Linked DNA regions of Rhinolophus ferrumequinum. The protein of the gene in region 1 purifies or fractionates together with the protein of each later gene. This does not show direct contact. Links are inferred from orthologs where the notes say so. Each region holds a gene or a part of one and is shown in the gene's direction. Other genes may lie near its edges.

Region 1 (7,110 bases):
AGGCATATGTTCACTTAAGGGCACAAAATGTAAATGTAATATAATGTAACTACATCACTGGAAACACAGATCCCCCACAACTCTGCCACTATCATAATGTATTAGTCATTATTTTTTTAGTTTTGCATTCAACACTTATTTGTTGAGCATCTACCATGTATGAGACATGGGTGAACAATACAAAGTTCCCTTTCCTCAAGAAGCGCATATCCTAGTGGGAGCAGACCAAAAAAAAGTGAAGAAATAGATAATATATTTACAGGTTGTGGTTAGTGCTATTACTGGGTGGCTGATGTATTAAATACCTGCTATATAAGGCTCTACAATGATGAATAAGACAGGAAGCTGCCAGCAAGGGACTTATAATCTGAGTTAACAGAAGACCAAACAATTGTCAGTCTTTGGTAAAAAAGATTGCTAAGGTATGGCAAATTATAGTTGTTTTGAGGATTAGAGTCTATACAAATTATGGTCCATCACAAACTGATATGCCATGCACTATGAAACACTTAGGTGTTCATTTAATGTTAAAAAAAAAAATCTAAAGAACAGGAAACTGTGCCTGTCATAGTATTTCTTAAGACTAAAACCAAAGGAATTTAATGCGTCAAAGTTATTTTTTCTAGGTCAAACTAAATCTCATGCAGAATTGAAAACACAAAGCTATAATGATATTTAATTGCCTCAAAAGCTACTGCTGCAATTTTATGTGTAATTATTTTATTTGCTGCTAGTTTCTGCATATACTGTGCCAACATTTGCTAGCTGGCTTTAGAATACAGACCAGAAGTTTAAGAAAAGAAAGAAAACACCACCAGTAATTTTCATATTTGCGAAAGATTCTTTCCTCTTTTGAGTGTTGTTGTTTCAGTAATACAGTAGTTTTCTTCTCCTTCTCCTTCTTCTCCTTCTTTTTTTATTAAGGAAAGATCTGTGAGTCCTCAAGTGCCATTCATACCAGCTTATGGCAGGATCACCTAACTTGAGAAATGGCCTGTCACTGAGACCTTAAGGGGAGACAAGAAAAGGGTTTAGTTTCACTGTGAAGTGGGGTACTACTGCCAGGGATACAGAAAACTTAATTTCCTTTCAACCTCTGTTGCCAGGTCTCTGACTCATGTTTCCTGTGTGTTTTAAAATGGATGATCCTGGGACAGTTGAGAAATTGCGTGCTTGAGCAACATTTTGACTTGTCTTCCGATGTAAAGGACAAAAAAATAAAGTCATGCTAAGTCCCAGGACTCAAGGGGGCTGTACGAAGTATCAACTTCTTTTTCTTGGGCTGTATTTCTCTGATAGGTGTGCAAATTCAGCACATAAAAGATATTTGAGTAATAATAAGTATAGTTTGTTTTCAGTCTGTGATAATGACTATCTTGGCTGCATTCCTGCAGAAGCCATCCCTGAGACATGGTTTCAAGAGCTAGTATTTAACTTGGGAGGTGATACCAGGAAACACCAGGAGGAGAGTGGGGAAGCCAGGTGGGGAAAGGAAAGGAAGCCAATAAAAAATGTGCTATGAAGCCATTCCTGAAGATGCTGGAGCTGTGTCAAGGGCAGCTCTGGAATACATTGAATAACACGCATCTGAGCTACTCCAGGAGGGAGGCAGACTGGCTGGCTGAAGCCTGTATGTGGTCCCATGAACTGCCTAGTGCTTCCAGCTTGTCCTGGTTCCAGGAAGAAAGCCCAGAGGCACAAGTGGGCAGGCTTTCCCAGAAAGCAGAGGGTACAGCAGAGAAATATGGGTTAAGGTTGATGGCCTCTGCCACTGTCCATCCCTTGCATGCCATGTTGTGTTCAGTCTGTCCTGTCACTGACTTTTCACGCTGATGTCCAGTCATCCCCACATCAGGGGTATTGATAAGCAGAGCTATGGGTCCTGCCACTGTAGGTTCTGAGGTCATGATGATTTCCATTATTTCCTCCCTGATCACCCATTCTAGATTCCCTCACCCTCAAATAGCACTTTTGCTGGCCTGGGCTGCTTGATGAAGTGGCCCACAGCTTTGTCCCTGCGTCCCTCATCCCAGACATGGGTCTAGGCCCTGGTTGCCATGCCCCTGTCAGGCCAGGGTTGCTGCATTGCCCATTAACTGATATCACCAGGCATGAAAAAGATGTCCAGTGCATGTCCTGAGTTCCAGAAATAATTTTCCCTGCCCCTATTTCCTCCTGATAATAAGGGTCAGTTTTTTGTTGACTGAGGAACACAAATAAAGAGAGGCTTTAGATTTAGGTGAACTTTGTGTCCCCTGGCTCCTCCAGCAGAGCGTCCTCCCCTGCTGGAGGAGCCAGGACTCTATGAGGGACACAGCACCATACGATGGTGTTAGATTGAAAATACGTAGTACATACCATAGCACAGCATCCTAACCTGCAAAATGCCCTCCTCAAGCTGGAGCCTCAGTTGTGCCTTCAGAGGCCCTTCTAATGTTCTATCAGGATGGCAGCTTCTGGGTGTGTGATGTGTGGCACAATCAGTGATCTTGTGGGATAGTCCCCTTTGTCGGACCTCTCTCACTCTTTAGAGGTCCCTGATCCTAGGTGATATCCTGGGCAATTCCACGATGATAGATCAGACACTATGTGAGCAATTCAACAGTGATGCTTGCCAGGCCGTGCAGGTAGGGAAGATAAACCCAAACCCAGGATAAGTATCTGGGTCTGAGAAAACCAACTTGCCACCAAATGGCTGCCTGGTCTCTTCGAGGGAAGCACAATGCACATTGGCCCACTGTAGCTGAAGGGGGTGGTCGCACTGTCTAGATCACCTTGTTGGCAGGAGTACGTGTAGCTCCATCCCTGCCACCATGGCTTCCCCATTCATAGGCCCATTCTAAAACACTGAGGTGATCCAGGACAGAGGCTGGTCAAATCATCCTGGGTACAGGGGCTCCCTGCTGCAGATGCTCTCTGGTGGGCATTCATGTGACACATACAGATTGGCCAAACACAAAATTTCTGTGAGGTGCACATGTCAATTCTTGGGGTAAGCTGGCAAGGCCCCACCATGCTCTGCCTCTGCCCATGGCTACGCTCCTCTCCATTCAGCTGTAACCAGCCACGCCAACAGGTCTCCTACCTTTGGGAACTTCTAGACCGGAAGCAGACGGGATACTCTGGGTCCCATATAGTCCAAATGGCAGGCCAGCTCTCCCAAGAACTTTGCCCCCATGCTCAGCTCCACTACGATGGCAGCAAGCACAGCTCCCAGTATGCTTCAGGTCAGCCAGTACCAACCAGTCTCACAGATACTTGGGTGAATCCCTTCCACGCCTTGAAGGAGTATCTGAGCCCAATAGTTTGGGCCTCTCTTTATAATGTGGAGTGACTTTAGGGTGACCATACATCATCCAAACAGGGACACTTTTGACAGTAAAAGGGGCACTCTTTATTATTAAGCCAGGATACCAGAAAAGACTCAGTTATGTCACTGGGGTCACCCTAGTTAACTGCCGCCTTTTCCAGTTTAAGTGGCCAGTTCCAGGACAACTAGAAAAATCCCTCTGAAAACCCCATCACGTGAGCTTAAACTCCATTGTCCTCCATTATGCCATTTCTTTGCATAGACTCTCAACTCCTTTGCTCCCTGCTCCTTATGCCTTGTAAAACTCCAACCTTCGTTACACTAATTTTCAACTACCTACCTACACCAGAACAGCCAAAAATGGACAAGCATGATGACTGGCTCCATTTTAAACTTAGGACAGCATATCCCAAGAAGGCCTTCAGTCCTGCCTGGAAATCTTACCGCGTTTTCTTAGTAATATGCTTCACAAAATCCAATACTAAGATTTCACTCTTTCTCCTCAAACCTCCGTTGTCCCTCATCCTTCCTATTCCCGGATGACCTTGCTGCTTCTTTTGCTAACAAAATAGAAGCAACCAGAAGAGTATTTTCTCATCTTCGTCACCACCTTTTCCCATCCCCGCCATGGCCACGGTAATTTCTTGCAGACTGCTGCAGTCGCTGTGACATTTCTTTTCCTCTTGCCCCGGTACGGTTTACCCCCCGCCCCGCGAGATCCTGGAAGGAAGTGACTGCCGTTGGGTGTATCCAGCGCACCCGCACAGCGCCTAGGCCATAGAGGTGCTCACTGAGTTTGTTGAATTTAAACAATCAACCCGCAGGGTTTCCAGGCTGTAGCCTGGCATTCTCCTCCGTAACTTGCATGGCCCTGTGGCTTTTGTGTGTCACTTAGCCTCTCCGGGCCTCGGGGGGAGTCACGGCGTCCTGAGCCAGCGCAGAGCCCACCACAAACGCCCCGAGGGCCCTCCTCCGCTTCCTGGAAGGTATCTGAGGGCAAGGGTAAGAACAGCGCACCGCGCACCCAGCGACGTGCATCCTGCCCCCCTTCCCCCCCCCCACGCCGCCCGCCGCCCGCCGCCCGCCGCCCGCCGCCCGCCGCCCGCCGCCCGCCGCCCGCCGCCCGCCGCCCGCCGCCCGCCGCCCGCCGCCCGCCGCCCGCCGCCCGCCGCGCTCTCCTCCCCAGAGGGCGGCTCATCGAAAACTCGGCGCTCTACTACTCGGCGGATCGACGCCGTCGGCGCTCCCAGCGGGCGGAAGTGGCGGGCCGCGGCGGTGGGGCTGCGACCCGAGAGCTGCTCCGAGAGCGGCCGGAGCCCTATCGGAGCGGGCTGAGGGGCGGCAGGCCGGCTGCAGGTATGTGGTCCTGGAGGTCCCGGCGGGGGGCCCGCCCGGGGAGGCGCGGCCGGGCAGGGGGCGAGCCTCGCTCCTGGAGAGGCGGGCGGGAGTGGCGGTCCGCCGGCGCCCGTGGTCAGCCCCTCGTCCGGCTCTCCAGTCCCTGACCGTGAGGGGGAGGGAGCCGCGCCGTCGCGTCCGCGGTCCGCGCCCCTCGCGGGACCCGGGCCTCCGGGACGTTGGCCCTCGTTCGCCTCACCTGCTGCCTTGCGCGCCTGCGTCGTTGTCGCGGAGTTAGGTTTCAGAATTTGTTCGCAGAGCGAATGTGAGGCACGTTTTGCTTAGGTTTGCATCAGTTTAGAGCAATACCGAGCATCTTCTAGGTGTCAATCACTGTTGTAAGCATTTAACATTTACTGACTGGTTTAATCCCATTAGCGGTAGGTGCTGTTGCAGTATACCCATTTTCCAGAAGGGGGAACAAGCTCAGACTGGGGTCTGAGCTTGGTTAGGTAACTAGCCTGCAGTATAGTTAGTTACTCAGTGCCTGCACCCCCAAACCACTGTGCTGTCTCCAAGGTAAGCTCTCTCTTGCTTACCTTGGTATCGCAAGATTTAGTAAATAGACACTTTTTTAACTCCAATAAACAGTTCTTGAAAGAGCTTGTCTTAAAATGGAAATAAGCTATTTTTAATTGCTAAAGGTTAATCATACTAATGAGTATGAAAATAACATTTTCATTGTTTTTATGAATCCGAGTAAACCTACAAGGAAAACTTTAAAAAATACTTTAAAAATCAGCCACACCTTAATTAAATCGTTTGGGTGCACTATATTGAAATGCTAGTGCTCACTGAGGTGAACGTGGATCTGTGTCCTAATGAGTAAACAATACTTTATGTTATCATAGTCTGGCCAGGCTCTGTGTAAATGACTCTAATGGCAAAGGAACTGAAACCCAAAAGCTTCCCAGGGATTACCTGTATGTTAAAAGTTGACTCAAAGGGTGGCAATAGAAAGAGGATGATATGTGTTTAGTACTTAAATGTTCTATTTAAGTAGAAACTTACTAATTTTAAGCAGAGAAGCAGGATCCTCCAGTGTAACTTGGAACAACTATTGGAAGTTTCAGAAAATAATTTTTTTCTTTGTCAAGTATTTCCTGTACTGAATATCACTTTGAACTATTAATATCACCTCTCAAAAAGATGATTATTAACCTGCTAAGTTAAATTTTCATTCCATAGACATTTGAGAACCTGTTGTATATGAATCTTACGGGAAATGAAATTGGTACTCAAAAAATTTTGCAAAGGCAGCCTTCTAGTAAAGGACCGTGAACAGTTTCTAGTGTCATCCAGTAGCAGAATTAGGCCATATAGGAAATGCTAGTTACACAATTAATCTCTCAGTTACTCATGCTTTTTCGCCCATTCACCAGCTTACTTCTCATCTATCCTGGATTCCTGGTACAGCATCTAGCACATAGAGGAGCTTAAATATTTATTGAATGGATGAGTTATAGGCCAGTGTTGAGTAGAGAGGATTTTGCAATTGACTGGAAAGGGAAATAACATTGATGACTCTGCTAAGCAGTATGCTAGAAGTGTTGCTTGTTCTCAGACCCTGGGGAATGTGCCCATGGATCCCCTGGAGTGCCTGGTGAAATCCAGTGGTAGTAGTGTTCAGTTATAATCACGTGATTCAGTATATGTTTATGTTAATTTAAAAGAATTATTGATAAAACCACATAAAATTAAAGTAATTGTAGAGAACGGATGAATCTTGAAGCTGTGGACATACTCATATGGCATCCTTGGATTTCAGTTTGAAAATTAGTCAAAAGGTATTTTGGCTTAGTAGTCGAAACAACCATTTACTAGTCCATGCACTACCACCCACCTGCTTTGTAGCCTGAGCTGAGTTACTTAGCCTGTTGGGCTTCAGTTTTCTTTTCCCTGTAGTCAGAGAATATACAAAACTAGATTATTTCTAAGAGTTCTTCCTGCTTTGGAAATTTCCAACTCAGTGAATCCTATAACCACTTAGCACTTGTCTTATCCTTGTCGTAGGGGCTGTAACTATGACTGGTATTTACATGTCTGTCAAAAGACTAAGCTCTTGTTGGACAGGGTTTAGTCTCGGTCATTTTTGTATCTCCCAATTTTAGCATACAGCCTGACACACACATTAGAAATAAAACAATGTTAGCCTACATTCAGAAGGGGCATTTTTGCCCTCTCAAAGAATGGCTAAGAACTAAACTATAGTACTGAGTTTAAGTACAGCAGGAATTCAGAGAAGGGAAGCGTGTATTGGGGTGGAGTAATTGGGAGGCTTCATTGAAGTCAGCCTGTGATGCTGCCCTTCAGAGGGAAGGCAGGTGAACATCTGGGCAGCACACCAGGAACAAAGGCTCGCTGGCTGGTAAATGAGAGCATTTTGGATTATGGGGTGCCTTGAA
Region 2 (7,205 bases), on another chromosome or scaffold:
GACAGTGGAGAGCCTCTTGCCAGTGTCAGAGCAGGTGTCCTGGAGGCAAAAGTTGACCAGGCCCAGAGACAGCCGAGGGGCTGGGGAATAGCGGGGTATCTCTTAGAGCCACTCTCCCACTTTAGGATCTAAAATGCCCCTGGCCAGACAGAACCTCCCCAAGAGCCTAGGCTGTTATGGCCTCCAGGCCCACCATCTTGCCAGGTGAGACTGTGCCTGTGGCCCCAGAATGTTCCATCTGGTCCCAGGAGTATAGCGCACCCTACCTCCTTTCCCTCGCCCCACTCTGGGACATGTACCTACGAGCTTGTCTGACCCCTTTGGTCCTCCCTCTATGCCCCTGCTCCCCCCTCACCCTCGTGGATTTAGTCATCATGTAATTATTTGCTTATTTGTTCATCACAGATTTGTTGGGCACCCTCTCTGCGTCCAGCTGGATGCCTGAGAGGCAACCCTATAGAAGACAAGCCCAGGTCTTCCTGTCACCTGCATGATAGCATCTGTCCTGGAGGCCTAGCTTTCCTCTCACTTTGTCACTCATCTGTGAAGACCAGTTGCTTCTTCCCTGCCTTTGATCTGCCCTCAGCTGGGCTCCATCCACCTGGTCACTCCTTGGCTCCAGCTCTGACCTGTGAGGTCCTTCTTTTTGGCAGTGGGCCCTGCTCTCTGCTGGCCACTTCACAGGCTCCAGCAGGAAGACTCAGGATCCAGCTTTCCAGCCCTCCCATTCCAGGGTCACACTTTTCCTCCATCCCTCAAGTGGGCATTGTTCCCTGGTGACGTCCCAGTCTTTTTGGGGACCTGAATTCAAACCACTGTACTCAGGGGACATTTGATTCGTGGTTGTGAAAATGATTTTAAAGCTCACCTGAAAAAAATAAACAAAATGAGAATATCTAGGAAGTTTTTTTCAGGGGAAAAAAAAAGGCCAAGAAGGAAATATTAAACATTAAATATACAATTAAGTTGAACCAGGCTTGCATACCTGAAATAAATCCCACTTAGTCATGGTAGGTAATTCTTTTTACACATTGTTGGATTTTATTTGCTAATATTTTGAGTATTTTCGCATCTGTATTTATGAGAGATACTGGTCTGTAGTTTTCCTTTCTTGTAATGTCTTTCTCTGGTTTTAGGATTAGAGTAATGCTGACCTCATAGAATGAGTTTGGAAGTATTCCCTCTGCTTCTATCTTCTGAAAAAGATTGTAGAGAATTGGTGTCATTTCTCCATAAATATTTGGTAGAATTCATTGGTGAAACCATCTGGGCCTGGTGTTTTCTGTTTTGGAAGCTTATTAACTGATTCAATTTCTTTAATAGTTATAGGTCTGTTAAGATTATTTGTTTCTCCTTGTGTGAGTTTTGGTAGATTGTATCTTTCAAGAAATTGGTCTGTTTCACCCAGGAATCAAATTTGGGGGCATAGTGTTATTCATAATATTCCTTTATTAGCTTTTTAATGTCCATGAGATCAGTAATGATGCCCCTATTTCATTTCTGGTATTAGTAATTTGTGTTTTCTCTCTTTTTTCTTGCCTGACTAGAGGGTATCAATTTTATTGATCTTTTCAAAGAACCAACTTTTGATTTCCTTGATTTTTCTCTATTAATTTCCTGTCTTTGATTTCATTGATTTCTGCTCTAATTTTTATTATTTCTTTTCTTCTGCTTATTTTGGATTTAATTTTCTTTTTCTAGTTTCCTAAGGTGGGGGCTTAGATTACTCATTTTAGATCTTTTTTCCCCCTAATGTATGCATTCAAGCTAGAAATTTCCGTCTAAGCACTGTTTTCACTGCACCTCACAAATATTCATTAGTTGTGTTTTCCTTTTCATTTAGTTCAAAATTAACCATGAGATGCCATGTTTCATTTATCAGATTAGAAAAAATGTTAAAGTTTGATAATACATAGTGTGGGTTAAGGTGTGGGAAAATAGGCACATTTATACCTTACTATTGGAAATATAAGTTAGTTCACCATTTTGGATGGCAATTTGTACATATCTATAAAACTTTTAAAGGTTATATACATTTTAATTTAGTAATGTATAGATAAGATGTCCATACAGAAGTGATCATACACAAGCCATCTGTATATGGGATAGAATTTCCAATAGCAAAAGACCCAAGTGTCCATTAATAGAGGATTGCCTGAATATATCTATTCAATGAAAGTCTATACAGAGAATGGAGTATATCTAATACTAATATTGAAAGATGATTAAGGTATACTGTTAAATGAACAAGCAGGCTACAGGAAAGTGTGTTTAACGTGATAGCATTTGTGTTCTGTTTTAAAAAAAAATAGAAAGAAGAGCTTATTTTATGCTTGATTCGTATGAACACATCTGGAAACACATCATTGCTGTTCCCTCTGGGACAGAGGTGCTTGAGGGTCGAGGAAGAGCAGGGCACCTTTTGTTTTTCACCATGTACCTTCTTTACCGTTTGAGTAGGATTACATTTAATTTGAAAAACTAGTTTTAAAACCAAATTGCAGATTTGAGCCCACAGGAGGCTGAGAGCACGCTCAACCTTTCCTTTGCTCTCTCTTCGTTGTAAGACAGCATGCAATAGGCTGTCCACTCCTGGGCTTTGTACACCCTGGTCCTTTCTCTCATTTTATATCTAAGAGGAGTTAAAAAAAAAAAAAAAAAAAAAAAAAAAAACAAACAAACAAACAAAAAAAAAACTCTTGACCACTCTGCCAGATGGCACTGTTGATGGCTGGTGGTTTCGAAATGAGGAAAAGAGACTATTTTTGATCATTACAGAAAAAAGTAAAATTTGTTCTCTTAGAAGTGTTTTGATAGAAAGGTAATTTAAACTCATCATCTTTAAAAACTAGAGAAACTGAACATCCCTTGTACTCTACTACTTACTATTTTAGTGTTTTGTGCTGTTTCCCTGAATGTTTTTTTTTTCAATGCATCTATCATATTTTAAATGGCTGTAATCCCAGGGAACATACACTGTTGTGGTTGTTTACGTCATAGCATCCACATTTTCAGATGGCTACAGGGCCAGGAAACATTAATTTGGAGGAATGTTACACTTGATTCCTCAGAAAGAACACAAAGTCTGGAATTAGGATGTTACCAAAGAACACGCTGTTGGGGGAGGGAGCTCTTCCTCCCTCCCTCCCTCTGGAAAGAGAATCTCTCTGAGCGGGCAGTGGGGCACTTGGCTGTGATTGGCACCTTTGTGCTGTGTACAAGTTTGTGAAGGAAAATCAAGGCTTCTGAGGCTGCAGCTGAAATACTACTTGCTTCTTTTGGTAAAGCAGCTTGTGTTGAGGATAGTTGGGGAACTACAGCTTTTATAGATTCAATGTCTACTTGTCAACACATGCTTGACATTGGGTTGAGAATAATTTAAACATCTTTCCATTCTGTCTACCTTTTCCTAGATATGGTGGTCATAAATATACCCTGCTATTCACACTGGATTTTCTTGAAAATCAGATTGGCAGCTTTGCATAGCAACAAACAAAACTCCTGAGCTACCCAGCATGGGGGGGCGGGGTGTAGAGGAGAACCCTCTCCCAGCCAGCTGTGTTGATTTAGTGCAGCTGACTCTAAGCTTGAGCTTCCTCATTGGCAGAAGGAAGGCAACAGCTGTGCCCAAAGTTTATTGTGAGGATTAGACAAGATAACGAGTAAGGATGGTGTTTGTAGCAGAGATGGGCAAACAGAAGACTTTCAATACATGGCAGCTGGCTACCAAATTAACTTAGTGAAGGAAATTTAAGAAGATACAAAAAGCACACACGTATATAGTTCATTTACAAAAATGCAATGATACTATACAAAATTCAAAGTATTCAGTCATAGAGGATTCCCTTCCTAAGACCTATACAGCAAGATGTTTTCAATATTTTTCTTGAGCATCTACTATGGGCTAGGTGCTGTTCAGAAAGGTTAAGTGTTGAGTGAAGCTCTCCGGGCTGGTCCACAACAGCCACACTTCCCAGCCACACCCAAGATGGCTACTTGCTCCAGCCGGTCACTGGGCTCCGCGCAGGAGCACTTCCGCCTGCCTCTCCCAACATGGCACCACCAGCGAGCTCTGGGGCGGGGCCAAGGGCGGAAATGGGTGTGATAGGGACGGGAGCCGAGAGGGCACGCACTCTGAGACAAAATACTGGAAGTGGGAGCCTCAGGGTCGAAGGGATGATTCCCCCGCAGGAGGCGTCCGCCCGGCGGCGGGAGATCGAGGACAAGCTGAAGCAGGTGGGACTGGGGCTGGGAAGGTGGTGGAGGAGGTGAGGGAAGGAGCCGAGATCCGGGCCGGGGCATATACTCACGGAGGAGGCAGGGGTGGGTGGGAGCGCTCCCTTCAAGGAGATGGGGTTGGGGGCGAGAGCGCGGTGATCTCCTTTAGCTTCCGGCTTCTGCTACTATCGTCCCCTCCGCTTCCCCAGGAAGAAGAGACGCTGTCCTTCATCCGAGACAGCCTGGAGAAGAGCGACCAGCTCACCAAGAACATGGCAAGTAACGCCTCGGCTGGGAGGGGCTGACAGGCCTCCAGACCTTGGGGGGGAGCCCTGCGACCTGCGGTTCGGTCTATAAGGCCTGAGGTTCTGGCCCGGCTAATGATGGTGGTCGCGTGTGGGTTTCTCTAGCAACCGTGTGGCTTGTCTCTTACTTCGCTGCCTTCCCCTTGTCCGCCGCTTCACTGAGGATGCTGCAGCCCCTCTGGCCTGGACTTTCTGCTTTCTGTTCAAGTTCTCCATTCTTCCTTCTGTCTTTCTGCAAACATTTAGTGAGACTGACTTTGGTGGGCTGGGTACTGGTCACGTGGCAGCCTTCAGTTGGAGGGATGGTGGGATGGGAGGGATAGAGCACTTCCAAGATGAGGAGGGCAGGGGAACTCAGCCGTCACGCCTGGAGGGCTGTAGGGGTAGAACAAGCTTTGAAGTCAGATAGATCTAGGATCTAGCCCTCCCCCTCCACTTATTTGTGTATGGCTCCTGACAGGTAACTCTGGGCTTCAGTTAACGCATCCGATAAGACAGCCACTGTCAACCTCCCAGGGTGGCTGTGAAGGTCATAGGAGCTAATGCATGGGCTAACACATCTTGCACAGTACCTGGTATACAGTAGGTGCTCAACAGATAGCAGTTTCCTTCCTTATTTTCAGAGGAGACTGGAAAAGCACAAATTGAGTAAATACAAACTTGGGTATGTATTTAATAACATAATCGTAAAGTCCTATTCCTTATTGAATGACACTCCCCCTTAGAGAGGGAGGGTTTTGAAGGTACCAGCAATGCATTTGAGCCCCTCTATATGAAGTTACTTCCTGTTCAGTGTAGGAAAGCTTCAGAGAGAACAGAAATAGAGATTTAGCTTCAAAGGGTGGAAGGGAAGCCATCCTGGGGTGATTAACTTAGAAGAAGTTAATTTGCTGCTTGGCTTGCCTTCAAATCAAACTTCATCCAATTTATTTGAACCACCTCCTATGGTTCGGCACATGGGACGTGCTCAGGCTACAGAGATGAACAGGTACACCCTGCCCCTTCCCTCACAGAGCTTGGTGTCTAGAAAACCAGAGAAAAACGCAGCAAATGCCACGACCCGATGGGTAGAAGCGGTGCTGGGACCACCCTGAGGTCTGAGAGCACGGGGCTTCCCCCGCAGGTGTCTATCCTGTCATCCTTTGAGAGCCGCCTGATGAAGCTGGAAAACTCCATCATCCCTGTTCACAAGCAGACAGAGAACCTGCAGCGGCTGCAGGAGAATGTTGAGAAGACTCTGTCCTGCCTGGACCACGTCATCAGCTACTACCACGTGGCCAGTGACACTGAGAAGATCATCAGGGAGGGGTGAGCCAGGGCCAGAGGGTCACATTCCTAACGCCTCCTGGACCAGTGGCCATAGGCCTTGGGAGGGAGGGGTGGAATGTATTTGAGCCTGGAGTCCCTTGTGTTACTTCTTTTCTTTCCCCTTTCTATTACCATTCCCTTGGTCCTTCTCTTCATCTTCCATCCACCCAGGCCGATCTGGCTCTTTTCCTTCCCAGCCCCACAGGTAGGCTGGAAGAATACCTGGGAAGCATGGCCAAGATTCAGAAGGCTGTGGAATATTTCCAGGACAATAGCCCAGACAGCCCAGAGCTCAACAAAGTGGTAAGGGACCAGCAGGGTAATATGAGAGCGATGGGGACACCAGTCACTGCCCTGGTCTCAGGAGAGACTAAGCCAGCTTCAAAAAGGCTATAGTAGAATAAACAGAACTATATAATACAGTTCACAGACTGTAGTCATGAAGACCTCTGCCTCAGGAATGACATCATACGTTTTTGTTACATTTGTATAATTTAACTAAATTATAAATTACATATAAAATGTAAATTTAACATTTGATTTATATAAACGCATTTGTGGGGTTTTTTTTAATGTGGTAAAAATACATAACATAAAATTTATAATTTTTAAAGTTATTTTTGATTACAGTGGACAAACAATATATTCATTTCAGGTGTACAACATAGTGATTAGACATTTATATAATTTACAAAGTTATCACCCCAATAAGTCTGGTACCCATCTGACATCATGCGTACTTATTGCAATATTGACTCTATTCCCTATACTGTGTTTTACGTTTCCGTGACTCATTTAATAAGTGGCGGTTTGTATTTCTGAATCCCTTTCACCTTATTCACCCATCCCCCCAACACCCCTCCCAACTGACGAGCGCCAATTTGTTCTCTGTGTGTATGAGTTTCTTTCTGTTTTGTTCGTTTGTTTATTTTGTTGTTCAGATTTCACGTGTAAGTGAGATCAGATGTTATTTGTCTTTTCTCCGTCTGACTTATTTCACTCAGCATAACACTCTCTAGGCCCATTCATATTTTAACCATTTTGAAGTGAACACTTCAGTGGCATGAAGTACTTTCACATTGCTGTGCTGCCATCACCACCGTCCATCTCCAGAACCCTTTTCATCCCAAACTCAAACTCTGATCCATTCAACAGTAACTCCCCTTTCTCCTCTCCCTCCAACCCCTGGCAACCATTATTCTACTTTCTGTCTCTATAAATTGGACTATTCTGGGAACCTGAATTCATGTTTTTACATTTGACTTTTTGCATTGTATCTTTGTGTGTAAGCATTGGGGTTATTAGGTCACTAGAATAAGATGGGGTAAGGCTGAGAAGTGAAGTTTACTCAGTGCATGGAGGAATGGAGAGAAT

The links. Proteins that work in one complex are often made in the same cells at the same time.
Region 2: the proteins of EXOC2 (region 1) and EXOC7 fractionate together in Homo sapiens (co-fractionation; 4 studies listed by BioGRID, with this or other methods). This does not show direct contact. The link is inferred for Rhinolophus ferrumequinum from reciprocal best matches to the Homo sapiens genes EXOC2 and EXOC7.

What each region holds. Positions count from the first base shown.
Region 1 is NC_046292.1:93,602,757-93,609,866, forward strand, and holds the start of EXOC2 (exocyst complex component 2), read left to right. Parts: upstream 1-4,043; 5' UTR 4,044-4,312; intron 4,313-4,514; exon of another isoform or gene 4,515-4,666; intron 4,667-7,110. UniProt on the Homo sapiens protein: Component of the exocyst complex involved in the docking of exocytic vesicles with fusion sites on the plasma membrane.
Region 2 is NC_046304.1:50,885,221-50,892,425, reverse strand, and holds the start of EXOC7 (exocyst complex component 7), read left to right. Parts: upstream 1-4,078; 5' UTR 4,079-4,095; coding exon 4,096-4,236; intron 4,237-4,427; coding exon 4,428-4,493; intron 4,494-5,646; coding exon 5,647-5,831; intron 5,832-6,028; coding exon 6,029-6,134; intron 6,135-7,205. UniProt on the Homo sapiens protein: Component of the exocyst complex involved in the docking of exocytic vesicles with fusion sites on the plasma membrane.